Oryctolagus cuniculus: one gene and its partners. The protein of the gene in region 5 purifies or fractionates together with the protein of the main gene of each other region. This does not show direct contact. Links are inferred from orthologs where the notes say so. Each region holds a gene or a part of one and is shown on either strand. Other genes may lie near its edges.

The links.
Region 1: the proteins of NRP1 (region 5) and BCS1L purify together in Homo sapiens (affinity purification with mass spectrometry; 3 studies listed by BioGRID and IntAct, counting the BioPlex papers as one, with this or other methods). This does not show direct contact. The link is inferred for Oryctolagus cuniculus from reciprocal best matches to the Homo sapiens genes NRP1 and BCS1L.
Region 2: the proteins of NRP1 (region 5) and FAM241A purify together in Homo sapiens (affinity purification with mass spectrometry; 3 studies listed by BioGRID and IntAct, with this or other methods). This does not show direct contact. The link is inferred for Oryctolagus cuniculus from reciprocal best matches to the Homo sapiens genes NRP1 and FAM241A.
Region 3: the proteins of NRP1 (region 5) and CSNK2A2 purify together in Homo sapiens (affinity purification with mass spectrometry; 5 studies listed by BioGRID and IntAct, counting the BioPlex papers as one, with this or other methods). This does not show direct contact. The link is inferred for Oryctolagus cuniculus from reciprocal best matches to the Homo sapiens genes NRP1 and CSNK2A2.
Region 4: the proteins of NRP1 (region 5) and UBR2 purify together in Homo sapiens (affinity purification with mass spectrometry; 3 studies listed by BioGRID and IntAct, counting the BioPlex papers as one, with this or other methods). This does not show direct contact. The link is inferred for Oryctolagus cuniculus from reciprocal best matches to the Homo sapiens genes NRP1 and UBR2.
Region 6: the proteins of NRP1 (region 5) and PLXNA1 purify together in Homo sapiens (affinity purification with western blotting; 4 studies listed by BioGRID). This does not show direct contact. The link is inferred for Oryctolagus cuniculus from reciprocal best matches to the Homo sapiens genes NRP1 and PLXNA1.
Region 7: the proteins of NRP1 (region 5) and KDR purify together in Homo sapiens (affinity purification with western blotting; 7 studies listed by BioGRID and IntAct, with this or other methods). This does not show direct contact. The link is inferred for Oryctolagus cuniculus from reciprocal best matches to the Homo sapiens genes NRP1 and KDR.

Annotation. Positions count from the first base shown.
Region 1 is NC_091434.1:20,774,625-20,778,751, reverse strand, and holds the start of BCS1L (mitochondrial chaperone BCS1), read left to right. Parts: upstream 1-1,223; 5' UTR 1,224-1,352; exon of another isoform or gene 1,353-2,411; intron 2,412-2,592; 5' UTR 2,593-2,641; coding exon 2,642-2,961; intron 2,962-3,045; coding exon 3,046-3,185; intron 3,186-3,387; coding exon 3,388-3,582; intron 3,583-3,755; coding exon 3,756-3,819; intron 3,820-4,043; coding exon 4,044-4,127. UniProt on the Homo sapiens protein: Chaperone necessary for the incorporation of Rieske iron-sulfur protein UQCRFS1 into the mitochondrial respiratory chain complex III.
Region 2 is NC_091439.1:52,823,046-52,827,346, reverse strand, and holds the start of FAM241A (uncharacterized protein FAM241A), read left to right. Parts: upstream 1-1,483; 5' UTR 1,484-1,656; coding exon 1,657-1,821; intron 1,822-4,301.
Region 3 is NC_091449.1:41,552,420-41,556,735, reverse strand, and holds the start of CSNK2A2 (casein kinase II subunit alpha'), read left to right. Parts: upstream 1-1,506; 5' UTR 1,507-1,652; coding exon 1,653-1,756; intron 1,757-2,510; coding exon 2,511-2,622; intron 2,623-4,316.
Region 4 is NC_091436.1:127,374,490-127,378,736, reverse strand, and holds the start of UBR2 (E3 ubiquitin-protein ligase UBR2), read left to right. Parts: upstream 1-1,381; 5' UTR 1,382-1,760; coding exon 1,761-1,838; intron 1,839-4,247. UniProt on the Homo sapiens protein: E3 ubiquitin-protein ligase which is a component of the N-end rule pathway.
Region 5 is NC_091444.1:108,709,462-108,713,101, reverse strand, and holds part of NRP1 (neuropilin-1), read right to left. Parts: intron 3,471-3,640; coding exon 3,333-3,470; intron 1,602-3,332; coding exon 1,330-1,601; intron 811-1,329; coding exon 714-810; intron 1-713. UniProt on the Homo sapiens protein: Cell-surface receptor involved in the development of the cardiovascular system, in angiogenesis, in the formation of certain neuronal circuits and in organogenesis outside the nervous system. Mediates the chemorepulsant activity of semaphorins.
Region 6 is NC_091441.1:109,964,013-109,967,652, reverse strand, and holds part of PLXNA1 (plexin-A1), read right to left. Parts: coding exon 3,446-3,640; intron 2,039-3,445; coding exon 1,856-2,038; intron 1-1,855. UniProt on the Homo sapiens protein: Coreceptor for SEMA3A, SEMA3C, SEMA3F and SEMA6D. Necessary for signaling by class 3 semaphorins and subsequent remodeling of the cytoskeleton. Plays a role in axon guidance, invasive growth and cell migration.
Region 7 is NC_091439.1:109,274,375-109,278,525, forward strand, and holds the start of KDR (vascular endothelial growth factor receptor 2 precursor), read left to right. Parts: upstream 1-1,334; coding exon 1,335-1,401; intron 1,402-4,151. UniProt on the Homo sapiens protein: Tyrosine-protein kinase that acts as a cell-surface receptor for VEGFA, VEGFC and VEGFD. Plays an essential role in the regulation of angiogenesis, vascular development, vascular permeability, and embryonic hematopoiesis.

The DNA of each region.
Region 1 (4,127 bases), on a different chromosome or scaffold from region 5:
ACCAAAGCGATCAAACCAGTGGTTCCTCGCATAGCAAGCAACACATCTGGAGAAAGGTCAAACTCACCACCTGCCTATGGCCTATGGGAAATGAATGGCAACTAAATGGCACATTCTGTCTCGATGGCTAAAAGGAGTTTAACTGAATAATCAGCAGAGTTAGAATGACAGTGAACACCTCGCCAAGCTGTCACAGCAGCCAACCAGGTGAGAAGAAGCAAAAACAGAAGGAAACCAAGTGCCCACAACCTGGTATTTGCTATCCTCCGGAATCCTTCCACGCAAAACCCCGGATCGTGGGGATTCGGGAAGCAGAGCGCACCGCCGCGGCCACAGCTCCACCTGCTGAGTACCTTCGCTTCCTCCGGGGAGCCTTCCGGCGTGGCCGGCCCTACGGGAGTGGCCTCAGGTGGGGGCCCGAGGAGGATGCGGCGGCCTTCCGTCGCCGGCAGGCAGGGTGAGGTGGGAGACAGGTGCTGCTTAGCTTTGGGCAGGGGCACTGAGGAGGAGGAGAAAGGTCAAGTTAAGGCAGAGAGAAAGCGGCCAGGAGCCGGGTTCCCCCCTGCCTGGGCGCTGACTCACCGCGTGCCCGTGGACAGAGCCGGCTGCCTCGCTCGCGTCTCTGGGCCTCAGCTTTCCTATCTGTGAAATGGAGGCGACGACAGTGTCCACATCGTCGGGCGCGAGCTGGGTCACGGCAGCCGGCGGCCGCCCAAGGCGCTTCGTAACCTGCACGGCTTGGGAGGGAGCACCGCGTCGATTACGGTCCTAAGGCGAGGCAGCGGCTACCCGGGCGGGGTCCGGAGCCGTGACGCTGCCGAGGCGCCCGGGCGCCGCTCTTCGGCGTGCTTCTCCCAGCCTCTCCTCCCGAGGGGTCCCACCGCCCAGGCCCACGCTCACCCCTGGACCCCAGAAACTTTTGCCTCCGGCTCGCTCCACCCGCACGCCCTCTCTCTTCCCGCCCTGCAAGCCTCTCACTCACCTGCCGGCCTAGGGCCGGGGGGTGGGGGAGCCGCATCTCTATGGTCGGCGGCGGATGAGGCGGCCTCCCGGGGCGCCCTTTGTGCGACCGCCTCCGGCCCAGCTGCCTCTAGGACATTGGGGATATGGAGGCCACTCTTTCTTCCATTTGTCGGCCGGCGGGGTACTCTATGGTCCCCCCCGTCGTCGTCGTCCTCCAAACCCACAAGCCCAAGGCGTACCATCGAGAGTTGTGGGGCAGAGTGGCATGACCTTCTTGGTGGGTGTGGCGGGAAGTGGTTGAAAGAACCCGGGGGGGCGGGGCCAAGCAGCGCTTCCCTCAGGCACTGAGAGGTGAAACCATCGAGACGGAGGGCCAGAGAGTCATGGCGGTAAGGGGGCGGAGTGGAGAATTCTTCCACACCACGTTGCTGGAGGCGCGAGCCGAGGTGTGCTGGGGATTCTGGAAGGGACTTCTGAGCGTCTGGCAAGGACCGGGAGCGGGGAGAGCTTTGTCTGTGGCCTCGCATGCATGGGTGTTTGGGGCTTATGGCTTCCGCTCTGAGCCTCCATGGAGGTCACTACTGTCAGTACACCCATCCGTGCCTAGCGCTGAGCCAAGTTGCGCTCGAGGGGCAACAAGGCTGTGAGAGTTTGCACGTTTGTTGAATCGGCAGTATTAAGCGCTAAGCCATAAAAGGTAGGTGGGCGCTGTGTTGTGGATAGCCTTTGAATATAGGCTGAGGAGTTTTCCGGGTCAGGTCCGTTGGGAGTCAACCCTTGAAGGTACTGGTGTAGAGAGAGTGCTGGAATCGGAGCCGAAAGATCTGGACCCCTGTGTGGTGTAGCTGTTGGGTGATGCAGGAGGTGGCGACCCATTGAAATGCCATTTCAAGAATTCGTTCACTTTTCTTTAAAAGATTTATTTATTTGAAAGAGTTACACAGAGAGAGAAGGAGAAGCAGAGAGAGAGAAAGAGCGCTCTTCCATCCACTGGTTCACAATTGGCTGTAATAAATGGCCGGAGCTGTGCTGATCTGAAGCAAGGAGCTTCCTCTGGGTCTTTTGGTGCAGGGCCCAAGCATTTGGGCCATCTTTTACTGCTTTCCCAGGCCACAGCAGACAGCTGGATCGGAAGTGGAGCAGCCAGGACTCGAACCAGTGCCCATATGGGATGCTGGCACTGGAGGTGCCAGCCCTGAACTCGTTCAGTTTTAAAGGGGCAGGTTAGGTGGGAGGTAATAAAGGTTTAAATCGGGCATTAGGAACTGGGCACATAGGGAGATGGTATTTGGACTCCTGCTAGTGGACACAGGCCACTGGGTTGCTGACAGGTCAATGAAGACTCCTGCCAGCCGGGCCCTTTCTATCTCAGCTGGTCCTTGTGATCGCGAAAATTTCACCCATTCGTTACCCTACTGTGAAGCTGGTTCCTCTGGCGGGAAACTGAGGTATGGGCAGGCGAGTGGAAAGGGCTTGGAATCTCAGCGACAGAGAGACCTGAAACCCCCGGGTGGTGAGGACCCATCCTTCCTGCTCCTGCTGGAGGTGGGGGTGGGTGGGAGAAGGGACTCTCCTTGCCACGCTAACCTTGTGCTCTGTCCCCTCTTGTCCTCTGCTCTCCACCTCTAGGTTTTGACAACGCCGCAGGGCGCGTAAGGTTCAGTGCTGCCCTCCCAAGATGCCACTCTCAGACTTTATCGTGGCCCTGAAGGACAATCCCTACTTTGGGGCTGGCTTTGGGCTGGTGGGTGTGGGCACAGCCCTGGCCCTGGCCCGAAAGGGTGCCCAGCTGGGCCTGGTGGCGTTCCGGCGTCACTACATGATCACGCTGGAAGTCCCGGCTCGCGACAGGAGCTATGCCTGGCTGCTCAGCTGGCTCACCCGCCACAGTACCCGAACTCAGCACCTCAGCGTTGAGACGTCGTACCTTCAGCACGAGAGCGGCCGCATCTCCACCAAGTTCGAATTTGTCCCCAGCCCTGGGAACCACTTCATCTGGTAAGGTTTTGTGCTCTTGGAGGGCTCTGTCTTGCGAGGGAGCTGGCTTTGACCCCTTCCTTGCCTCTGACCGATCTTTTTCAGGTATCAGGGGAAATGGATCCGGGTAGAAAGAAGTCGGGAGATGCAAATGATAGATTTGCAGACGGGGACTCCCTGGGAATCCGTCACCTTCACAGCCCTGGGCACCGACCGCAAGGTTTTCTTCAACATCTTGGAGGAAGGTGTGAGATGGTACAGGTGACCTCTTCAGGGGACTGCAGGGATAGGGACACGTGACATTGGGAGGAGGCAGCTTGGAGGGAACAAGATTTGAGTCAGGGGCTCAGGGCACACACAGAAAGGAGCCATCTTGGCATAGCTCGACCTGACTGAACGGTCAGCAGTCGTGAAGGGAATGCCCACCTTTGGTCTCTCCACTCTCAGCCCGAGAGCTAGCCTTGCAGCAGGAGGAAGGGAAGACGGTGATGTACACAGCTGTGGGCTCCGAATGGCGCCCCTTTGGCTATCCACGCCGCCGCCGGCCCCTGAGTTCTGTGGTTCTACAACAAGGTCTGGCTGACCGAATCGTCAGAGATGTCCGGGAATTCATTGAGCACCCCCAGTGGTACACGGATAGAGGTGAGAAGCGGCTGGGGTCTTGGCTAGGCCGGTTCTAGCGGAGGAGAGGGGCTGGTCGCTTGCCAGATGGGGCGATGCGAGGCTCTGCTCTGATTCTCAGAGGTGAATGGGGAAAGCAGGTTTCTCCCCACAGCAGGGCTGGTAGGTCCTGACCTCTGGGGCTGTATCCCTAGGCATTCCCTACAGACGTGGCTACCTGCTTTATGGCCCTCCTGGTTGTGGAAAGAGCAGTTTTATGTGAGTAGTCAACATTCTCTTAACTCTGCAAAACTTAAGTCTTTATGGAACAGCTGGGCCAGAGGGTGGAAAGGGAAATGAACCTGGTGGCCAGAGAGCGTTAGGGTGGATGGTGGAAGAGTTAGGTCTCTGAGACACATCTCCCAGGGCTGTGCGAAGAGCAGCTGGGCCCAACGAGGAGTTCCAGGGTCGCCTACCTGCTCCTGTCCTGCCACCTTCCACAGCACAGCCCTGGCTGGGGAGCTGGAGCATAGCATCTGCCTGCTGAGTCTCACGGACCCCAGCCTCTCCGACGACCGGCTCAACCA
Region 2 (4,301 bases), on a different chromosome or scaffold from region 5:
GTTCCTACATGACACTGGCTTCTGATTATACACACATAATCTTAAATACTCTCCTCTGACATTTGAAACATTTTTAAGAAAGGAATTAAATCCAACTAATTGCCTGTCTAACTTGAGAACAAAAAGCATATTTTCTAGTCCCTAGAGAGAGTGTGTGTGAGAGCAAGACATGTACTTAACAGACTTGAGAGTTTGCATATGAGAGCTTGCATGCGTACCACACAAATCATGTGCACACGAGAGCTTGTGTGCGTACAGGACACTGAGCTGCTCCTGATCAAACCCAGGAAACAGTTCTTTACATTAAGCCTAGGAATTCCAGCATATTTTAATTCCTCCTCTGGGCCTGAACACACTTTAATGGAAACCTCAAATAACTCATTCTTTTTCATACCATTGACACCCCAATATTTTATCTGTAGAATAAATCATCATTTTTTCTATATGCAGGTAGGAGAGACAGAAAAATCTGGCCTTTTATTTAAGCATCCCTCAATTTCCCTTTAACAAAATGGACAGAGTAGTAAGAAAAAGTCATTAACTGGATATTCCTCCCCTATCCCCTACTGAGACACGTTTTTGCTCATTTATAGAAATATACAGGGCTGGCGCCATGGCTCACTTGGTTAATCCTCCGCCTGCGGCGCCAGCATCCCATATGGGCTCCAGTTCTAGTCCCGGTTGCTCCTCTTCCAGTCCAGCTCTCTGCTGTGGCCTGGGAGGGCAGTGGAGGATGGCCCAAGTGCTTGGGCCCTGCACCCGCATGGGAGACCAGGAGGAAGCACCTGGCTCCTGGCTTTGGGATCAGCGCAGCTCCGGCCATGGCGGCCATTTGGGGGGTGAACCAGTGGAAGGAAGACCTTTCTCTCTGTCTGTCTCACTGTCTATAACACTACCTGTCAAATAAACAATACACACACACACACACACACACACACAAAGGCAGATACACCACCACATGATTCCTAGGTTCCAAAAAAAAGAACTGTGTATTCCTGGCAAATGATGGGCCGCTTCCAGACAGGCAGCCAGCAGCAAACTGGCACATTCCAAGGCCAGGCAAGCACAGAGACAGTGGCCGGAGAGAGCAGTGGAGTGTGTGTGCGTGTGTGTGTGCTCGTGCACGTGTTTCTCCTGCTTCTTTCACACACACCCACACACCCTTCTTCCTAACTCACAAACGCAGTCTCACATACACACAGTCTCACAAGTGTAGCTTTAGCTCTCACACTTGTCTCTAGGTGTCTCACGCACACAGGAGCTCACACACACTACCCATGTATTATGTATAGTCTCTCTCTCTCACTCACACACACACACACACACACACGCACAGCCTCTCTCACCGTCCACAATCTCCATCAGATATCTGTTCTGTGCACGCACGCTGCAGACTTTCTCTCTCCTCCGCCCCACACGCCCCCGTGGGCTCCGCCCCCACCTTGGCCCCGCCCACCGCAGGCTCCGCCCCGGCGGCCGCGGGCGGGGCGAGCCGGTGACAGGAGGGGCCGGGCTGGTTCTGTACTTCAGACGCGCAGGCCGGCCGGGCGCGTTTCGGAGGCTCCTGTCAGCCGCCTGCGCCGCGGATCCCGGGGTGACGGCCGCTGCGGGCGGCGTCGCGGCGTGGCCCCCGGGACGGCAGGAGTAGACGGCGGGATGTGCTCGGCCGGGGAGCTGCTGCGGGGCGGCGGCGGCGGCGGGGAGCGTGACGAGGACGGGGACGCCCTGGCGGAGCGGGCGGCGGCGGCAGCGGGGACCCAGCGGGAGCCCGGGGCGAGCCCGCGGCGGCTCGGGCGGCGGCCGCAGGCGGAGAGCGAGCAGGTGAGGCGGGGAGGGGCGGCGACGGCGCTGCCGGGCCGGGTCAGGAGCCCCACCCGGCGACGGAGGGAAGTGGCCGGGCCGCCTCTCGACTCTGCCCCGCGTGGGGCGCTGGTGGCCTCGGCATTCGGGCGGCCATCGGGAGGAGCGGTTGGACGGCGCGGCCGGGCGGGGTCGGGGGTCGCCGCCGTCGGACCGAGGGGTCCGGGCTGGCGCCGGGTTGCGGAAATGCCCTCCGTACGGCGGCTGCTTTCAAAGCCTCTCGCGCAAACACTTCTTTTTCGACTTGGTGTCCGCTCCCCCGAGCTGCGAGTGGGCCCTCTGCTCCGGTCCCGCCCTCCATCTTGCGGTGGGGACGCACGCCTCGCGGGGCCCTAAGGTGCGGGTGTTTCTCCCGCGGGCGGCCGCGCTGTGCCGCGTGCGCTGCAGCTGGCCCAACAGCACACGGCCCGACGGGGGCTGTCCCCGAGCAGGCGCTTCGCCGGAACCCAGATGACACCTGAGCTTCATTTACACAGTGAGAAAGCAAGAAATTGCTTTCTGTTAGCACCAAAGGGAAAGAAGTTTAAGGGGCCAGCCCCAGTAGGGGAAAAGGGAATTGGTTTTTGTTTTGTTTTTTAACTCTCCGAGTTTGATCTCATGAAATCTAGTGTGACAGTGGGCAGCTTATTTTAAAAACTGAGCTACACAGAGAATGGATTTTCACCAGCAAAGACTGTAATTAGATCTCCAAAAATACTCGAGATAAGTCATCTTTAGGATCACGCGAAGAGACGGGAATTCAAATGGTTGTTGGCCTTTCCTACAGCCTATATTGTTAAGACAATAATACCCGTCTCTTCTGGTCCTTCTCCATCTGTCCTTTTTGTCACGTTTCACAGACTCCAGTATCATCACTAAACGCCTTAATAGATAAAGCATAACTTCTATTATCGCAGTGTTACTTAGGAAGCAGAAATTGCTGTGTTGGGTACACAAAGTAGAGCTTCCTTAGCATTAGGTGTGATGGCCATGTGGAGTGTGTTTTTTGAAAATATATGTGTGACAGTATAAGAGATGGTGACTGAAGCAAATCATTGGTAACAGAGATCTTCCGGATTCCCTTCCTGGTGGTTTTCCCGCTAACTGTACCGTGACTCAATAACTAAAGGGCTCGGTTTCCTCTTACTTTAGTTTAGTTGCTCAACTGGAAAAGAGAAGAAAACTGCCACGGGAACTCCCTTGAGGGCAGGGGATGCATTTGTGCCCAAGTTGCCACAGTAAATTTTCAAATGGTTGTAAGGGAGCATCGTTATGATGATGGGGACTTCATCAGTAGTTCTGGTCTTACCAAAGTTGCTCACGGTACACAAGAAAAAGGATGAAACAAAAGAGTGAACCATGTTTCCTAGAAAATGGACTAAACTTTTGCATACCTGCTTCCGTCATTGCATGTCGTGGAAATTCCTTTTCTTGGGCTCCATTAGAAGAGTTATTTTTATAATTTTGGTTTATACCTTGTGGTTTATTTATGTACTGTAAACCTACATACAGTCATTGACAATCACACCTGAGATATGCATTGCTTAATGCATCAGCACCAAAGAAGAACTTCTTATCAAGAAGCCAAAAACAAGCAAAAATATTGCTTTTTAGATATATCATTTCTTTGCAATATTATCATGAAGTACTGCTTTCTAGCTTTTTGGTGGTCCTGTGAATGAAATTTAAAATTTTTGCACTGCCATTGACAATGGTGGAAATAACTTGAGATGTACAGATATTTGAGGCAGTGGTAAATGAAATTCGCAACTATAAAACAGATTCCAAGGAGTTGTTTCAGTTAGTTTTTCTTTGGGGGGAATTTTTTGGTAGTTCATTTTGTTTGTTTTGTTGGTTGTTTCAAGGACAAGGGCTCCAAATTACAAACTGAGTATTTTTGAAAAATTGGTTCTTGAGCTAGTGATTTAGAACTTACAGTGATTGTTTCTTTAGAAAAAATGATAGATCAGCAACAGAACCAAAACTAATTAGCTGGAAATGAGGTACAGACTGTCTTCCTGCTGTCCTTTCTGTTTAGCATGCTGCCTGGAATTCCAGAGTCTTCCAGTGGCCTCACGGATGTTAAGCTGAAATTGAAGGCAGCAGCTATCAGAGGCTCGCTCTTACCTGGATCAGGGCTGTGGTGATGTGGTCTTGAACAGTCACTCCAGAGGCACTTGCCTTCTGCTGCTCCAGTTCTTTAAATGATTTTGTCAGCACCGAATTTGTGTTAAACCCCTTTCTACTTCTATTTCCTTTACAGACTTTTGCACTTTCTTGATAATTTAATAGAGCAGAATTTTTCCTTGGGCTATTTCCAGGCCAAGGGCTCCTCCCTATACATCCTTTTGCTGAATTTTCTTTCTGTTCCTATTTTCTTTCCTATTCCTAATTCCCTTTCCTTAGCCTGGTCTTTTGCATAAGCTTTGATTATACAAAATCTATCTTTGGCTCACTGAAAT
Region 3 (4,316 bases), on a different chromosome or scaffold from region 5:
TTTATGTGAAAGGCAGAGTTAGAGAGGGAGAGACAGAGAGAAATCTTCCATCTACTGGTTCACTCCCCAAATGGCCATAAAGGTCAGGGCTGGCCTAGGCGAAGCCAGGTCTCCCATGTGCATTCCAGGGGCCCAGTGACTTGGGGGCCACCTTCTGCTGCTTTCCCAGGCTCATTAGCAAGGAACTGGATTGGAAGTGGAGTAGCTGGGACTCAAACTGGTGCCCAAACGAGAAGCCAGTGTTACAGGTGGTGGCTTAACCTTCCACACTGCAATGCTTGCCCTGGGTCTTTTTTTCTTAAAGATTTAGTTTATCTGAAAGGCAGAGTCACAGACAGGAGGAGATGGAGGGAAGGAGGGGGAGAGAGAGAGAGAGAGAGAGAGAGAGAGAGAGAGAGAGGCAGCCAGGACCCCAACCAGAGTTCATGCGGGATGCCCAGGCGGCAGGGTAATCTACAATGCTGAACTCCATCAAGGGCCTTATCCAGGAAGCAGCATGAAAAAGGATGGGAGTCAGAGCTGGCTGGCTGGGTGAGGGGCCGCTAAGAGTGGGGCAGAAGGGGGAGCCAGCCACAAGGAAGACCCAGAAGATGCAGGAGAGAAGAGAGTTCAGGGCTAGAAGGCACAAAACAGGCCAGACTGGCCACCCCAGCTTAACCAAGTGACCGAAGTGGACGTTCAGAGAAGGCTCTGGAAGAGAACGTGGGGGACGGTGTAGGAGAGGGGTTTTGTGGGGAAGACTTGGGATGAAGGAGCATGGGGTCTCAGGACAAGGAGTCTGCGAGTGACAGAGCAGGGTCCACAGCGGGGAAAAGGGATTAAAACACACACACACACACACACACACACACACACACACACACACACGAGGGGAGGGGACATCTTGAGGTGGGGGAGGTTCTGCGGTTGAAGAGTGCGTCACTGGGGAAGAGCGGTTGGGTAACAGGGCTATCAAGACCGGGTACTGCGGGAGGTCTTGGGGTGGGTAAGGTCTGGATGACCAGAGGTGACGGTCTTGGGGTGGGCGTCTCGGGGTCAGTCCTCAAGGGCTCAAGGGCAGCCGACGGCAGGCGGGGTGGCCCTGCGGGAGAGACCCGGCCAGCCCCAGGATGCGGAGAGCCCGACCGGCGCGCCGGGGCGGGGGGCGGGGCCGGCACCGCCCCGCGGGTCCCCCCACGCTGCAGGGGGCGCTGTGAGCCTGGGCGGCCCCGGGCTGGGCGGCGGCCGCTCCTAGTGAGCGCGGCCCCTTTTCCGGGTTTCCTCCGCCTCCTCCTCCTCCTCCTCCTTCTTCGCCGCTGCCCCTTTCCCGGCCGGTGGCTGCCGCTGCCGGTGCCGTCGCCGCCGCCGTCGCCGCAGCCGCCGCCGCCGCCTGGGGGCCGCGAGCCGAGCGGAGGCCGCCGCGGAGCGCGAGCGCCGCCCGCCCCGCCGCCCCGCCGGCTGCTCCAGGGCCGGGCCGGCTCGGCCGGCGCCCCCCGCGCCCCCAGCCCGCCCGCCCCCGCGGGCCCGGCCTGGCGCGGCCGCCCGCCGCCGCGCTCCTCCTCCTCCTCCGGCGCCCCGCGGCCCGCCGCCTCCTTCGCCCGCCGCCCCGCGCCCCCCGCCGCGCCGCCGCCGCCGCCCTCTGCGCCCCGCGGCGCCCCCCGGTCCCGCCCGCCATGCCCGGCCCGGCCGCGGGCAGCAGGGCCCGGGTCTACGCCGAAGTGAACAGCCTGAGGAGCCGCGATTACTGGGACTACGAGGCTCACGTCCCGAGCTGGGGGTAAAGCCGCCGCCGCCGCCGCCCCCCGCCGGGGCCTCTCACCCCCACCCCCGCCGGGCCGCCCCCCGGCGCAAACCGCACTCGGCCCCCGCGATCTGCCTCCCGCAGGCCGCTCGCCGGGGCAGGGCTGGGCTGGGCGGCAGAGGCCCCCACCTCGCACATGTCCTCCTCTTCCTCTTCCCTCACCCGCGGCCGTTCCTCCCCCGCCCCCAGCTTTGTGCACCCCTCTTGCCCCTTCCCTCCGGCGGGGGGGGGGGGGGACCAGGGCCTAGCGCGGAAGGGAGGCAGCAGCCGCCCCTCAGGCTGGGGGTTTCTCTCGGGGTGGGGAGTCAACAGCTGTCTTCTATGAAAATGCGCTGCTTTTTTAGTTTTCTGACACGAGGCGGGGTGGGGGGGATTTTTTCGAAAGATGTGCAGATTCTCAGAGCTGGCGCTGGCTACCTTCGGGGTGTGAAATAGGGGGCAGGTGCTGTGGAACCGCGGGCAGGGCGGAGTGCTCCCAGGGTCTGCGAGATGGATGATGGACTCAGAGCGTCTACCCCCAAGTTACAAGGGACCAGTTAGGTTGGGAGCCCTGCAGAGCAGCAGGAGCCTGGTGTGTGTTGTAGCTTTCATATAGGGACTGAGTTGCAGCATGGATTATAGACACTTCCAAGCGCTTGGTTCGTGGAAGTGGCCGGCCGGGGCGTATCGTGGGCATAGGCTCGGCGGACCCCAAGGCCCAGCATTTATGTGTGTCTTTTGCCTCTCACAGTAATCAAGATGATTACCAGCTGGTTCGAAAACTTGGTCGGGGAAAGTATAGCGAAGTATTTGAGGCCATTAACATCACCAACAATGAGAGAGTGGTTGTAAAAATTCTGAAGGTGAGTCTCCTATAAGTGGTTTGTAACTTTTTCCCCCACAGGCCAAAAGGACGTGAGTTACCCGAGCCTCGTTTCTAGAACGAGCTGTGCCGGCTCTTGCGTTATGTCTCTTCTGTCCAGGACGCCCGGATCCCACCCCGTTTTCCTTGGACTTAAGAAAACACGCAGACCGGCCTTAAATCTAAGCAGAACGGATCAGGAACACCCTTGTTCTAAAATGTAAATTAGAGGTTCCCAAAGCAAAAATCCCAAAAGGGCCCCATTTGTTACAAAATAAATAAATATTCAGAGGGAAGAAAAGCCTTTTCATGGAGATTCCATGGATCCGAGGGCTCTTTGAGCGCTGTGTTTGTTAGTCCACAAAGAAAGTTGGAGAAAATTGGAGCCAAGGGGAAGGAAACTCCTCGGGGTGATAACCACTTGTTTCTCCTCTGACAGTGAAGTTTCAGGTGGGACAGCTGAGGGGCGCAGGGAGTGCTGGGAGCCCTGGAGCTGCTTATCAGCTAGTAAAACTGGAGTTAGAAGGCACTTTTAATCACTCAAGCTGTTGGAACAAAACTGTCTGATGTCTGCTTTCGCAATCTTAAGTTTGATGATAGGCCTTCTGTTATCTCTTGAGTGAAGACGTAATGAGCCTGAAGAGTTGGCTTCAGGTAACTGTGTGGCTTTAATAATGTTTTACTGGGTGTCCTGCAAAGTTGTTCTTAGAAGCTGTCATGGGTCTTCATTATCGCCAGATCCCTGAACGTGTGTTTGGAGAGGGTCTGTGGCGGGGGCTGTGGGGCTCAGAAGCTGCCTGTGCATGTCAGGCTGTGCGGGGAGGCCCTGTCCTCTCAGGCCGGGCTCAGGCTTTCTGGGAGCCGCCTCTCAGAACCGTGCCCAGCAGCCTCGCTCAGTGCTGTCCTAGCCGGTGATGGAGGAGCAGGATTCTGGTAGAGAGAAAGCGGCAGAGGCCGCTGTGCCGTCAGACGCTGGGCACATGAAGTGAGGGACGGGTGTTAGGGATTTGCAGACTGGCGCCCCCTCCCCTGAATATGAGCCACCAGTGAAGTCCCAGGGCCTCCCCCCACCCCAACAAGCATAAATATGTGAAGAAATGGTGTTCCTTCAAGGCAGTCACCTGGGGAGGCCATGTAATTCCTCTGTGTACATAAGCAAAATGCTTTACTGCAGGCTGCTTTGACTTGAAGCAGAGCTGAAGTTGGAATTAGAAATAGCCGTATTCCCCAGCTGTCTGTCTGGAAGAATGAGTGCTGACTCTGAGGCAGTTCCAGAAAAATGTCTAAACTTTGGTGCAACAGCAGCATTGTTAGAGTAAGTGCCATTTCCTGTGTCCTCTTTGAACGGCGCAGCGTTCAGGTGTGTGTGTGAATGCCTGTCTGTCCAGGAGAGCATCGCGTTGCTCCTGGGTCATCCTTGCACAGCACTTCCTGGTGACTAGAGAGTTTTTCCTGTTCTCTGAAGCGTGCTGGGATGTTTTAGGGAACTCAATATGAAGACTGCCACAGGTGGTTTTTACAAAGGAGAGGCCCAGGCACAAAGAAACTCAGCCAGCTCACCACCAGCACTGCTGCTCCCTGCTTTTCCCTCTCAGCTTTCTTCGGCGCTGGATTGCGGGATCTTCATGTTGCGCCCAGAGTAAGTTCCAGTGTTCTGGAATGAGCTCCGCAGGCCCCTCTGGTGTCCAGTTGATG
Region 4 (4,247 bases), on a different chromosome or scaffold from region 5:
AAGAGAAAGGTTAGTAACTTGAAACCCTACTAAAAAATGTAGAAAAAGAACATTAATATCAACCCAAAAGCAATGGGAGGAAGAAAATAATAATGCTAAAAGTGAAAATTCCTTTACAATCTATTTTAATGGCTTAAATTCCATGCTAGGACATTCCCTCAAAAAATATGCTTAGCTTCTAGATGTGACAATCTCAGCTTTCCTCCAAGTTAACTCAAATTAAAGAGTGGAGCAGGGGCCAGTGCTGTGGCATAACGGGTAAAGCCATCTGCAGTGCCAGCATCCCATATGGGTGCTGGTTCAAGTCACAGCTGCTCCACTTCTCATCCAGTTCCATGCTAATGCATCTCTGGGAAAGGAGTAGAAGATGCCCCAAATGCTTGGGCCCTTGCACCCACATGGGAGACCTAGAAGAAGCTCCTGGCTCCTGGCTTCAAATCGGCACAGCCCTGGCCATTGCAGCCATCTGGGGAGTGAACCAACAGAGGGAAAACCTCTCTCTTTCTCTGCTCTCTCTGTAACTGTCTTTCAAATAAACAAAAATAAATAAATAAATAAATAAATAAATAAATAAGTCTTTAAAAACAACAACAACCACAACATGTACCAAACTTGGTCTGGGACTTTTTTTTTTTTTTCCTGGATGTAATGCTCACCCTACTTCTGAGAATAAATTAGCATACCTGATAAAATGCGTAAGCACTTTTCTGATAAACTCTGAAGAGGCTGAACGCCCAGTCACCCAACTGTCAATCAAGCCAACCTTTAACCAAACATAATTTTATTTTGTACCAAATCTAACAATCATTATCTACTCCTATAAAATGGGCTTCCTAAGAGCAAAACTTGGAATTCGCTTGACAGGCTCCTTTATCTAGATTTGCAATAAATTCTAATACGTGGTCATAACTGAATTGCTTGAAAACTTTAAAACAAGTATGAAAATGTTCAAACACTAGGGTAATTTTCACCTGAGGTACTAGCATAAGGGATGAAGGGATGATGGATGACAGAGCCATATAACTACAGGAATATAACTAATTCATTCATTTTTGTGATAAACATTTGAGAGCCCGCCGTAAGCCAGACTTTGACAAGTATTTGAAAACTACCACATGCCACGCAGTGTTCTCGGAGCTGCAGATCCACCAACGAACAAACGAGACTCTGTGCCTCAGACTACAGTTTCCACAAGATCTTACCCTTCTGCCTCTCTCTGGAGGGTGCGTCTTTTCGCTAGTCACTTCCCATGATTCTAATCGCGCAGAAAAGCCCCGCTCCCTTGTCTGCCACTCACCCAGGCTCCCTTCGGAAGATGGACTACAACTCCCATAGTGCCCTAGCGGAGTGCCCTATAAGTGCCACCACCCTCCTGACTGTGAGGGGCGACTACAGTACCCAGAGTGCTCTGCTTTCCCTCCTGGGTGTTATTGCCCCCTTCCCGGTGCGGGACGCCGCGGTGGCCAGCGCGGGTGCCAGGCCTGGGGTTTTCTGTGTCCTTTCCAGGGTCAGGGACGAGGCAGTGACTTGACTCCTGGGCGCTGAGCCCGGAAGGCAGCGCAGGAGGCCGCCGTCCCACCTGTCTGGTTCTCGTCACCCTTCGCTGTCTCCTGCTCCACCTGCGGCCGCCTGGACGGCTCCGGGTCTGACCGCTTGAGGCAGAGGTGGCAGTCGCGGCTGACGGGGCTGAGGCAAGGCTGCGGCCCTCAGGGCGGCGGTAGCGCTGGGGGGGAGGAGGAGAAGGAGGAGGAGGAGAGAAGATGGCGTCGGAGCTGGAGCCCGAGGTGCAGGCCATCGACCGCAGTTTGCTGGAATGTTCCGCCGAGGAGATCGCGGGGGTGAGTGCCCGGACCCGGGCGGGAATGTCCAGCCGGCGCAGGCCGCCCCTGGGGCGGGGAGGAACGATTCCTGGGAATCCGGGAGCGGCCCGCACTGACGAGGGGTGACAACTGCGCCGGCCCCGTCTTGTGGGCTACTAGCCCGGGAAGGGCGCCGGTCTTGCTTTAGTAGCCCTCAGGGCTGTGCAGTGCACTAGCAGCCTTTGTGCTTCCCCTCTGCCCAGGCGAGGTCGCAGCTCCTCCACTCTACCTCCATCCCCTCACGTTCCTCCAAGTCCCCAACACATGGGTCATTGCATGTCGGCTCGTGAAAGACGGGAGAGAAGGGGACGCCTCGGAGTGTTTGTAGTGTGATCGTCCAGCTTCCTGTTCCCGGGATCAGCAGAGCAGTGCCTCCGCCACCGACATGCATGCCACCCTCACCGTACCCCTTGTTTCTGCCGCGGCGCCGGCACCAAGGAAGCAGCCAGCACCGTCCCCTCACTACCCCCACCAGTGCCTTTTTCACTTTTCAGTTGCCCCGGTTTGGTTCGTGGCCGGCGTTGATGCATATGTGTGCAAAGTCGTGTCTTGACAGTTTACCGAGCTGGAGGTGAAATAATTTTCCTGGGAGTTGGAGGGAGTTGGATGGAGAACAAACGTTATATAACTTTGAGAGAGCAGCTTTTGTCAACAAATACAAACTAATAATGTGAGCGCGGGGCTGGTAGCAGCAGTAGTGTCCCAAAGTTAAACCATGTAAGCTCAGTATTGTACAAAAACTGTAGTATGAATGAACGAGAATAAGTAGCAGAGTTATAAAATGATTAATAAGCAAGAAGGCATCTTCCCCCTGTAAGTACAAGGAACACCCATTAGAACAGGTTGTCCCGAATGATTATGAATGGACCAAAACAACTTGGGCCCCACCTCTAAGGCCTCCAGTATAAAAAACTCCTAGCAGCCATGAAGTCAGCAGTCTGAAGATTAGGGCACAGTTTGGGGTAGACACTGCTGGCAGGGCAAGAAGTTACTTTGAGTGAATTGCTGAGCACTAAAGTTCAGATGGAAATAAATGACAAGAGTAGAGGTGAAAAGTTTAAGGAGATAAATTGTGGAATGAGGAGTCTTTCTTGGGTTTTTTAAACTGACTTGTTTAGTCTAAGTCTGTTTTCATTTACTTTTACTTAACATTGCACAACTGAAGAATTGTCAACTCCCATCTGCCTTTGATTTATAAGAGAAAATGAAAGTAGGGAACAGTGAAATAATAATGACAGCTAGGCACTATTTATGCCTCTTCTATTGATACATGGTTATTTACCTTAAATCTCAAGGTAGGTTTGGTCCCCCTGCCCCAGCTAAATTTTGTGTCTGTTAGCCCAGTGATACAGGCTACATACTCCATTATTCCTATTGAAGTGCAAGCTAAAGTGATTAGAGCTTCTCCTGGAAATTAGAGCTTCTCCTGAGGAAATCAGTTATAAAACCAGTCTGGAGGCCAAGCTTCTAGCCCTTGCTCAGTGAAATCCTCAAGCAAGATACAGCAGGGAAAGAAGGTCAAGAGGAATGCAGCAAAACCTCAGTTTGGCTTCATTTGAGCTGAACATCACAGTCTGAGCTAATTTTATTTAACTCTGTTCACTTTTAAATGGCTTCTGAACAGTTAGATTTCTGAAAAGTTCAGTCTGAAGGCCAACAACACTTCCTCAACTAAAAAAGATGCAAACTAGTATGTATAACGTAAAGATGGCCTTAATATGTGAGGGGTCTGTACTTAAATTCCATATGTGTTTACTTACAACACCAAACACTTCAAACTGTTGTTCTGGTTTAGCCTCTAGAACAGTCCTTTATCAGAAATTAAGATCAGTTAATAAAGTTGCCAGATTGAAAGTGAATTTTGTGGGGCCGGCGCTGTAGCACTGTGGGTTAATGCTCTGGCCTGAAGCGCCAGCATCCCATATGGGCGTCTGTTCTAGTCCCAGCTGCTCCACTTCCAATCCAACTCTCTGCTATGGCTTGGGACAGCAGTAAGAAGATGGTCCAAGTCTTTGGGCCCCTACACCTACTTGGGAGACCTGGAAGAAGCTCCTGGCTTCAGATCGGTGCAGCTCTGGCCATTGCAGCCATCTGGGGAGTGAACCAGCGGATGGAAGACCTCTCTCTGTCTCTACCTCTCTCTGTAATTCTCTCTTTCAAATAAATAAAATAAATCTTAAAAAAAAAAAAAAACACATAAAAAAGAAAGGGAATTTTGGGGAAGGTGAACAAGTAGAGAACGCAGTCGTTGCAGCCCTCAGACGCTCTACCCCTGGGAATTGATTCTACCATGTGACTTTCCCAATACTGCTTGACTTTAATTACATTTAATATCACATATTGATTGTATTATATACCCATGGGTGGTTAGGATTTTTTTTAAGATTT
Region 5 (3,640 bases):
GTAATAAAGCTTTGAGAGTTGTGGAGTGACCAGAGACCCACTATAGCCTATGGGCCCCCTTTGTCTTAGATTTGCCTGGTAGGTTTTTTCCATTTTGCTGTAATTAATATCCTCTGATGTAATGGTCTCCAGCAAAGGTTCTGTGCAGCAGACGGAGCTGCAGACTGACCACTGCCTGTAGTGAGGCTGTTTGCAATTCTGCATCAAGAGCAGGAGTGTAAAGTTACCTCGTCATGTGGGGCCGGGCCTACCAAGACCAGCTTCCACATATGAGACAAAGTCTCTGGGCCTCACTGCTTCTCTTAAGTTGTGTCAGCTCTTTTCAGAGTTGGAAACACCTACACAATTTCCATAAAGCTTACACAACTCATCAACAGTGTCATCTTATCAAGTCCCAAGGGTCGCCCTGCTATAGCCCAGGTCTGTGGAATGAGACGGGTGTCTGAGCTTCCAGCTCTGTCACTACTGCTGTGGCCAGTGCAGTGTCAGCAGCAAGCCTGTCTTCTCTGCTGGATTCCATGTTACTTACAGGTTTTCTGGGTTTCAATCAGACTTTCTGAATGAACCAGTTTAGGTGATGGGGCAGCTAAGGGTGAACTGGCTGGTTTCAGGCCCTGTTATGCCACCAGGTGTGAGTGAGTGGGTGAGAGCCATCAGCACGGAGGCTCCCGCTGGGGCACATACCCACTGGTACCCACGGCAGTCATACTCACTTGCACAGTCCTCTGGGGAGATGTGGTTGTTGATACTGATGTCATCCACCGCAATCCCACCCAGGTTTCCTTTGCCAATTTCACCCTCAAAAATCACCTGCCAGAATGAGAACATTTCACAGGGTGTAAGTGGCCGCCCTGATTGCAGCCTGAGCCAGGGCACAGACGTGCAGTCCAGCCCGAATGCCAGCACTCGGCCCAGCAGTCCGTGCTGGCTGCCGGCGATGGCACAGAATTCAAACTTATGGAAGGGGTGTGGGGAGGGCATTGGTCCCAGCGGTTAAGTTGCCCACATCCTCCACTGGACGTTAATGCCCACCCCAGGAGGCAGCAGGTGAGTGGGGGTCCCTGCCACACATGTGGGAGACCTGGATGGAGTTCTGGCTTAGCATCTGTGCTTCTCAAATAAATCAACTTTAAAAAGAAAAATCCAGGGAACAGGCAGCAAATGGAAGGAGTGCTACATGGTGGTGGCCGACTGTTGGCAAGAGGCAGCTTCTCTCCCAGCACATGGGGCTGGGCTCCAGGGAGGACGTCTTCGGGGCAGACGTCGCTGTAGGAGCCCTTGCGTCTCCTCACCCCAGCCCTGAGTCCCCAGCCCAGGACATGGCCACACCTGGTAAAGCTTCAGGGACTTGTGCAGCAGCACACGGCCCTCCTTCCAGTGGTCTCCTTGGTGCCCGATGGCCATCCAGACCAGCTGATCGTACTCCTCAGGCTTCTGGTAGCGCAGCTTGACCCTCAGTGTGCCCACGTGGGAGCCGGACATGTGGTACCAGAAGGTCATGCAGTGGGCGCTGCTCTGCGAGGACACCACGGGGCTCACCAGCCGGGCCACCTTGCCCTTCTGGTTCTCATCAGCCTGGGAGTAGATGAAGTTGCCGTCTCCTGTAGCAACAAACACAGAGGGGTGAGGGAGGTGGCTGGGGTATGCGCTGTTGTCTCTCTGCTCAGCAGAGGGAAGAAGGGTGCCCGAGGCCATCCTGTGAACATCTGGGAATGGGTGTGTGGCAGGGAAGCTGGGGGCAGCATGGATTCCCACAGGTCTTACAGGAATGCACCATCCTGGGCTTCCTCACCGAGGGTAGGCAGAAGCCAGCTGGCACCCACAGCAAACAGAACTTGTCTGATTCCTTGAAAACCTGTTTCTGGGGCAGGTGTTTGGTGCCATGGTTAAGCTGCTGCTTGGGAATCCCACATCCATATCAGAGCCTGGGTTCGAGTCCTGGCTCTTCTTCTGATCCAGCTTCCTGCTGATGTGCACCTGGGAGGCAGCAGGTGATGGCTCAAGTAGTTGGGTCCCTGCCACCCAGTGTGGGACCCTAAATGGAGCTCTTGTCTCCTGGCTTTGGCCTGGCCTATTGGATGGAAGATCTGTCCGTCACTCTTTCAGATAAATAAATCTTTTAAATTAAAACAATGGATAGCAGGATCTTTTACCCAGACTGTATTAAAACAACCCAGTGCCTGCTTTGCAACGTTCCACCCAGTAGCCTTACAAAAATATGCCCGGCACTGACTGACATTAGCCCCGTGGGCTCACCTCCTGCTGGCCAGGGACAGCTGCCCTGCAGTGGGCAGGGCAAGCTCTCAGCTGCCCCCTTTCTGAGGCTTTCCCGCTCTGGTCTGGGCTGGAAACACTTGTCACTAGCACTCTCCCTCTGCCAGCTTTTGAGCTTCAGAGTCCTAACCTCTGAGTGTCAGGACTGACGGACCATTAGGCCCCACTTTGCATCAATTTTCCCACCATTACTGCCTTCATCTGGGCTAATTGCATTTAGTTAATTTGATGCCATTTACAGTCAAAGTATTTTAAGTTTTCTAAAACTGCTTGTCTTAAGATTCAATGGGAAGTGTGTCAGAACTGAGGAGCCCAATTTTATCCAATTTCCCTGTCACTCTCATTAGGCAAGAAGGCAGCCCCTTCAGTCTCCTTAAGGGAGGAGGGAGTGAAGACAAGGAGAGTGATGTGAGGGTCCTGCCCAGCCACGGGCCACAGACGCTCTCACGCAGGGCACGGCAGGGACGAGCTCGAGTGAGGTCTGGCAGGACGGGCTGGGGCCAGCCAAGGAGAATGGGGTGGGCTGGATAGGGCAGCTCACTGTAGCCGCCGCCAGCCCTGCCCCCACTGCCTCTTACAGGGAGACAGAGCGGGGGCTGGCTGAGGTCTACACCCTCAGCCTCCCCCATGAGGAAGCCCCGGGCTCTCTTACTGTCTGTAGCTGTCAAATAAGTGAGGGGGCACGGAAGATGCCTGGACTTGGTGGGGAATACTCTAGACTCGGGGTGAGAGGGACACAGCCTCGCCTTGTGCTTTGGGGCTGTTTCGGTTGGTCACTCACCCAGCTCATGGTGCCCTTTGCCTCTGCTTTTGAGTATGTCTGGAACTGTCCGTGATCAGAACCCCAGGGCAAGTGTGAAGTGAGCAGACTGATGCAGCCTGGCCCTGGCGCCGTCCTCCTGGGTGGGAAGTCGGCCTCCTGACCTTGTGCCCTCCTCGAGGCGGAGGGCCCGTTTCCAGAACACAGAGGCACGACTGGGCGTGCACGGCATTTCCTAGCCCACGAGAGCAAGGCCCTGGAGCACCCCTCCCGCCGGCAGGAGCCCTTGGCCACGCACCTGTGTGGTCCTGGATGGGCCCGGTCTTGCTGGTCAGCACACTCCACCGGAGCTGCACGTGGCTGTCGTGCTCCCAGCGACAGAAGGTCTTGTGTGAGCCCCAGCCGAACTCGCAGTTGAATCCGTATGTGGGGAACTCTGCAGCAGGCGGGGAGGGAGACAGATTCATCATTTCAGGCTGGGAGGCCTTCGCCGTCCATGGCACACATGGTTTGCCCAGCTGCACGTCTGGGAAAGCCACAGGCCCAGGAAACCAAGAACCCAACGCGTGTGCAGAATCGCGGGAATGTGCATGGGATCGGTTGGCA
Region 6 (3,640 bases), on a different chromosome or scaffold from region 5:
TGAACCAGCAACGCCGGGCTCTCGGGGGAGCTCACACTTGACCTCCCCAGCTGGACTCCCCAGCAGCTGCCCAAACAAGTCAGCAAGAGGCCTGCAGTGGCAGAGGACAGACCCTCCCCAGCTGCCCGGCCACGGCCCTCCTCGGGCCTGGAGGGGGAAGGGGGCAGAGTGGGGGAGGGAAGCATGGAGGGACCTCTTCATGACCAACACACGATTCCTTGTTCTGGCCTCAGTTTCCCTCCTGTGGGCCTGGGGTGGGGAGGCAGCAGAACAACGGCGAGCAGGGATTTAGGGAACCCCCGCGTCCTGGGGCTCCTCCAGCCGAAGCTGCCAGGCAAAGGTGTGCCCGGGCACAGGAGCACAGGGGAGTCAGGACCGGAGGAACCTGTCCTCCCAGCCTCACCGGGAGCCTGCGGGCGGCACCGGGCCTGTCTGCCCCCCTCCCCCGCCAGCCCACCCACCATCAAAGGGGACGCTCCCAGTGCTGGGAGCCGAGTGGAGGTGCCCGTGGGAACATCTCCAAGCTGACAGCACCCCAGCTTCTACCCCAGGCACCAGGCACCAGGCACCAGGCACCAACACGCACGGCGGGGGAGCCACAGGCCCCTGGGCGGCTCCGCAGCCTGTGTGTGTGTGTGTGTCTCTTGTGTGCCAAGCGGGCGTGCCCACTGGACAGCGGGGAAAGGCCCTCACGCCACAGACACGGGACCCGGCTGAGGGCACCGGACAGTGCTGAGCCCACCAGGGTGACCCCAGCCCCTGGCCGCTCAGCCCAGATCACAGACATCTGGGTTCATTTCACAGACTGGAAGACTAGGTGTGGGGGTGGGGGGTTCAATTCCCAGAGAGCGGCGGACCTGACTCCCGGGGCGACCTCCACGGCAGAGGCGGAGCGGCCAGGAGGCCCTGGCTGGCGGCAGGCCCGGCCCCACCCACGGGTGCACGCCGAGCTGCGTCAGCGCCAGCCTCAGCGGCTGTTATTTCATCCCCGGGCCCGCCCTGCTCGCTGAGCCCTGCTGCGCCCAGCACCCCCGCCCTTCCGTCCCCCTGCGGAGCCTCCTCTAGCGGCTGGGCCTGCCCTAAAGCCGAGTCCCCACCAGGTACCACACGCCAGGGGGCCCGGGCGGCTCCCCTCTGCCCACGCTCTCCAGGAAGCCTTCCTGGCCCAGCCCTCGGCCCAGCTCAGCACAGGCATGCCGCTCTGGGAGAGAACTCAAGGAGACACACAAGCCACCCCAGTCCCCTCGCCTTGAGGGGCCCTGAGCAGGGCCTTTGGTCCCTCCAGTGCCTGGTTACGTCACTCCCCTGGCAGCGGCCCGGGGCAGGGTGGGGGCAGGTGCATACCCTTACCCTGCCCTTGGCCTTGCCGCCTCGCGCAGGCATAGGCTCCTGCAGGGCAGTGCTGCCTCAGCAGACACCGGATCCGCCAGGGCTCGGGAGCTGGGGCCCGAGGGGAGGGGGCTGCACGGCCCGCCCTGCCCCCACCCCCACTCAGCCTCCCTGGAGCTCACGGAGCACTCTGGAGGCCTCAGCATCCCCGACCCCAGGCTGCTGCACAGGCAGGCTACAGGGCCCTGAAGGGTTCTCGCTCATGGGACGGAGGCCTGCCCAAGCCTCCCTCGGTCTCAGGGCCCTGCACGTGGCACACGGCATAGGACACCTCCCAGGGAGGCTTGGCTCCTGCAAGACCCTGGTGAGCCGAGCCCCTGGAGGTCCCTGGGCCCAGCCTCTGGCACTGGCCAGACCTCGCGCCCTCCCCAGACTCTGGCTTCCCAGGTCACAGAGCGAGGCTGCCCCTCCACCTGGGGAGCCCCACCCACCCCCACGACGCACCGCAAGCCCGCCCGGGCCTGACCTTGCGGATGCGGCCGCTACGAGTCCCGGCAAACACCACGGTGCGGCCGCGGTAGTCGTAGGCAGCCACGGCAGTCAGGCCGTCCTCCTTGTCCACGAACAGGGGTGTGCCCTCGATGGTGACCGTGCCCCCCAGCGGCTGGTTGAAGTCCTGCCCGCAGAAGTCGTCATCAATCTGCAGGGGCTGGGAGCGGACACAGGGTGAGCGTCACAACTACACCGCAAACACCTCCCCCAGGACCGGGGCCTCCCAACGCACCAGGCCAACTCCACCAGCTGGCGGAGAGGCAAGCACGCAGCCGCAGCCACAGCCAGCGCAGTTCAGCGGAACACGGATTCCTGGGCCCACGTGACACACGGAGAAACCAAGGCTCAGGCAAGCAGCCCCAGGCCGGGGCCCGTCTCTTCTGCTCCCACCCACCCAATCTGGCCCTCTGTGGAACACAGCTTGGGGAGCGATCGGCCCCCAAACCATGGGACCTGGGGGGACGATGGGAGGAGGAGCCAGGCCCACTGCACTAGGGACCCTGACACCCACAGTGACAATCGGACAGGAAGGAACAGCCTCGAGTCGGGGTAGGCTGTGAGCTCGCTCCTCGCCCCACAGAGGCTGGCTCAGAGAAGGGACGGCTGCAGCCACGGAGGGCCCAGGCCCGGCCTTGGGGGGCTCACTTTGGATCCTGAGCAAGGCCCGCGCCCCCTCGGAGCCTGGGGTCTTCCTTGGGAAGACAGTGGTTCCTGCTGCCCGGGAGGGTAGAAGAGACCCTCCCCCCGCAGTGGCTGGTACCAGACCCACCCTTGGGCGGCACCTGGAGACAGGGGGCGGGTGGCTGTGGCTGTGGCTCGGCAGCCCCAGTGTTGGGGCCGCCGTCTGTGAAGGGCACAGACCACAGCCTGCACACGCCTGTCAGCGACTCTCAGTGCTACAAGGGCGGCGGAGCCCAAGGAAACCCGAGGAAGGAACCAGTGCGACAGAGATGGTGTCTGGGGCCTGCCCAATAGGGTCTGGTCCCAGGTCTGCACCTACTGGCTGGTGACCCTAGGCAAGCCCCCCACCTCTCTATGTTGTAGACTAGAGACAAGCCAGAATGGGTGGGCCGGTGGCGCAGCGAGTTTAGCTCTGCCTGCAATGCCGGCATCCCCCGTGAGTCCCCACTGCTCATTCAGACCCAGCTCCCTGCTAACACGCACGGGAAAGCAGCAGAAGATGGCCCCAGCGCTTGGGCCCCTGCACCCACGTGGGAGACCTGGATGAAGCTGCTGGCTCCTGGCTGTGGCCTGGCACAGCCCGGGCTGTTGCAGCCTTTTGGGGAGTGAACCAGCAGATGGACAATATCTCTCTTTCTGCTTCTCTCTCTCTCTCTGCAATGCTGCCTTTCAAATAAATAAATCTTTACCAAAACAAAACAAAACAAAACAAAACAAAACACAACAACAAAAACTAAAAAGGCTGAAGCGACAGGCACCCAGCCGAGCCTGCTTTGAGGGAGGCAGAGGAGGAGCCGCCCCGTGTCGCGGAGCCATGGCAGGAGCAGGGCCTGGCACACGACAGGTGCGCCCGGGCGCGCGGCCCGCGGCCGGCGAGGCTCACCGAGTTGATGCAGCCCAGCTCCTTGTTGAGCAGCCAGGGTAGCGAGAGCTTGCCCTCGCCGCGGTAGCACGACTGGATGCGCTCCTTGATCTTCTCCTTGATGGCTCGGAGCGTGAAGAGGCACAGCGCCGACTCCTTGGGCGGCTTCACGCGGTTCTTCTGGCCCTGGGCGAACACGGTGAACAGCACGTCCTC
Region 7 (4,151 bases), on a different chromosome or scaffold from region 5:
CGAGGGGGAAAAGCAGCACTACTTTGCATTAATTGTGTGCAATCAGCCTCGGTGGGTTTAGGCATAGAAAGGGTCACTTTGCTTCCTCCTTTCGCTGAAGGACGTTCACACATTGTCATTTTTAAAGCACCTGCCTGCACCTGGGAAGTCCACATTTCACGAAGGTAGGAGACACCTGGCGCCACCCTCCAGGTGTGCGCAGAAGCGCGGAGAACGCCAGACGCAAGGTGCGTATTCAGAAGCGCACGGAGGCCCAAGCGCGCGCGGACAGCCTCGAGGCTTGGCCTCGGCTTCGGGGCTGCCCCGGTGAAGCCCGCCGGAGGCCCGAGCCGCCCGGGCTGCAAGCTCTGCTCTGGGCAGGGAGCTGGCCCAGGGCCCGCGGGGGGCTCCCGCTCCGGAGCGGCGCTTCCCCGTGGAACGAGCACTGGGTTCCTCGCGTTCCCGGACTCCCGCTGTAGGTTTCTAGGGCAGAGGCAAGCAGACATCTCCAACGCGAACGCCTTTCTGGGGGCTGCGCAGGTAACTGCAGGCAACCCGAGACCTCCGGGTAAAAGATGCAATGGCCGGGCCGTCGCGAACTGCGCAAGTGGGCGTTCTGCTTAAAGGCATCCAAGTTCGGATTTAAAACTTCAGCTGCGGGCTCTAAAGCGGGCAGAACGGGCACTCGGACAGAAAACCCCAAGGCCACCGGCGGGAGCCCCGCCACTCGCTCCCGAACTCCGGATCAGCTCCGACAGCTCGGACGCGCCTAGCGAGGGCGCCGTGTGGCTCCTGCGCTCCGGGCGACGCTCCCCAACCTCGGAGGCCAGCACCGACTGAGCCTCGGAGTGGCCCACAGCCGCTGCGCGCCGCGTCTCCGTGCAGCTGAAACCGACCTGTTGCGCAGGGACGTTCTCCCCGCCCCGGCCACGCGCGGCGGGGCAGGCGCGGGGAGCCCCGGATCCCCGCCCAGGACCAGGGCAGGGGGTGGAGCCGGCTGCACAGGGAGCCCCGCCCCGCCCCGCCCCGGCCCCGCCCCCACACTCTAAGTTTCGGGTCCGGCTCCCACCCAGCGCTGAGTGTCCGGACCGCGCGAGCTCAGGTTCAGTGCCTACGCCGCGTCTCCAGCGCCCGCGCGGGCCATCCCTTGGGCGCTCCACAGAAAGCCCTGAGCCAGTCCCGCAGCCAGGATTTCCTCGCCTGCCCGCACCCGCAGTGCCCTTGCCCTGCGCGCTCCGGGGTCCCGCGCTCCGAGGCGGCCCGCGCCCCTCGGGGCACCCTCTCCGCGGGGCTAGGCGCCGGGAGCCAGAGGCGGCGCGCGAGTTCAGGGCACCGCGCCCTGCGCAAGGTGCGGGATGGCGAGCAGGGCGCTGCTGGCCGTCGCTCTGTGGCTCTGCGTGGAGACCCGGGCCGCCTCTGTGGGTAAGGAGCCCACTCCCTCGGAGCCAGGTGGAGAGGTCGGGGCGGGCGGAGAGATGGGGATGCCCAGGAGGCCCGAGCCAACTCGCAGGCTGGAACTCGGCACCTGGGCGCCTTGCTGTTATCAACCGGGAAGCCGAGGCTGAGACGCCGGCCCGCGTGCGCGCCGCAAGTGGTCCCTGGAGCTCTCGCCCCGGTCTTTTCCCACGCCGCTGCTCTCGGACCGCCGCCTTCTCTGGAGGGTGTGCCGCTCACACCTTCGGACGCCGGGGAGGCGGCAGTGGGCAGCCTGCAAGGCGCGGTCGGACTGCGCTGGCCACTCCCGCCCCGGCGCGCACCATGCGTCCGGCTGCGCCTCTGCGGGACTCCAGCCGGCCCTGGCGCGCGGTTCCCCTGCGGCTCGAACGCTAGTGCGCTCCCAGTCGTTGTAGGAGCTGGGCTCCGAGGGCAGGAAACTTGATTTCTTTCTTTGGTGCCGGACGCCGCTCTCCTCGCAGAGAGAAGAAGGGGACCTCGGAGCTGAACCCCGGGGCGGTGACGGCTTCCCCAAGGGTCTCTTAGTAACAGCTTCCCTTGTAGAGCAAGTTGACATTTCTCAAAGGGCTGGAGGGTTTGGGATTAGCACACAGAAGTTCAAGTTCGGAAACCTTGCTCTGCGGGGCTTGGTGCCAGTGTCACTGGCCACTCTCCTTGCCACCTAAACTCCTGCCTCTTTCAAGATGGGAATCACACATCTGTTTGATGTGGTCGCTGTCCCCTCTCTCTCCCCAACTCCTCCCCCTTTCCTCCTCACCCCTCCTCTGCGCAGCGCGCTGCACTCTGTACTGCAGTCCCAGCCTCTGACTCTCAGATCTCCACCCTCTGGAGGGTGAGAAAGGAGGAGGATCAGAGAAAGGAACAAAAGTCAAACAAAGCCAGGAAAAAGTTCCTTACACTTGGTTGGAAACAATGGCTCCCATGCCTTCAAAGTCGCTGGCACTCCTTCGCAGTCCCAAGAGCCTTTGTCTGCCTTCATAGAATTTTCTTGATAATGACTCGGCTCATCAGGGTCAGCTCCACCATGGACACTCTTCCCCCAACCCCGGTTCTGGGAGGGGAACGGGAGCCTGAGACATGTGGCTGCTCTGTATCCCATAAAGAAGCGGGTTGCCTGTAAGCCTGGGGTGCCTCCTAGATGATCAGGTTGCCCTTGTACAATGTGCGGCTACCCTTTGGGAGCGGGTGACTTGCTTAATTGGATTGGGCTGTAATTGGTGCCATCAAATTCTAGAGACAGAAGAACTGTTGGTTTGCTTCCCTGGCCTTGAGCTGGAAGGGTAACAGTGCACAAATTAATTAACGTTGGTTATGGGATTTGAACGTAGAAGGGCTTTTTATTGAGTGCTGGCACGTGCACCTGTTAACAGTTATTTTCTTATACCTTCCTAAAGAGTAAGAACTCAACCTTGCCCGTGACAATGAATGAAGCTTAGTGGGGAAAAACCAAAAAATTGAGCACCGGCCTGCAGAGATGAAGTTGATGTTAGCACAGCCTTGTGGAATGGATTCTCATTGCAGACAGGACTCAAATACGCTGGTGTTTTCTTGGCTTCCTGTGAATAGAAGGCATAGCTTAAAATTTTTTTTGCATAGCTAATTTGCATAGCTAGAATGTGAGTGGATCTGTAGTAATGGCTTTTGGGAGACTTTCAAGAGTTCATAGCTTGGTGCTGGGGGTGAGCATAGCTTATTGAGAGCCTACTCGTTTTACTGCTTTTTTTTTTTTTTTTTTTTTTTTTGGTCTCACACCAATGTGCCCAATTAACAGGTGTCTTCCTACTCAGACTTGTGTGCGAGTTGTAGTAAGTTACTGCCTTGAGTGTGTTTCTCAACCTAGGGTTTCCCACAGGCTTGAAAGCTGTGTCCATTTATTTGAATTGTGTTCATTTTTTCCTGTCTCAGACAAAGGGAAGGCTTCTCTCCTGCTGTGGGTATGCTGTCTTCATATGGAAAAGTGTCCTGCGAATGAATTCAACATGGCTGACTGCCAAGACCTGCCACTGTCCCAGGGCGAGCCCTCTGTGCTAGAGGCACCTGAAATGCTTGTTCACATGCGAATTTGTGGATCTGGGGGACACAGCCTAAAGTTTCAGACGCACGGCTCCAAACCCAGGAAGGCCGGACCAGTGTCGGCCAACTACTGTCTGAGACTGATTGATGTCATTCAATTTCCAGGTGTTTTTCTGAAAAAGCTGTGTTAGCCATCAGCAAATGTACAGTTGGTCAGCAGCCGATTTTGCACATCTGTGTGGGTGTGTGGAGACACGCGCAGTCAGTTGTTGGTTTCGCCTGCCGTTGTGCACATGAGGGTGCAGAGGTTCATTGCACTGGGTGTTTACACGGGATATTTGCTTATTCTCTCTTTATTCATACTCGCTCAGATTTGCTCATACCCTCTTATTTGCCCAGCAAGGTCAAGGCTAGTTTAGGCCTGGAGAGTCATTTGTTCTTGGTGTGGATTGGAAAGCTTGAGTGATTATTTAAAAGAATTTTTTTGTTTGTTTATATATTTAAGAGCCAGAGAGACAAGACAGAGACAGAGAGAGACAGAGATCTGAGGTAGAACCAACTCCATCTGCTTGTTCCTGCCCCAGATGCCTGCAATAGCTAGGACTGGGCTAGCACTTGGACTTGGGCAGAATGAAGCTGGGAACCAGGAACTCAGTCCAGATGTGCCACAGGAATGGCAGGAGCCCAGTTTCTGGAGCCTTTGT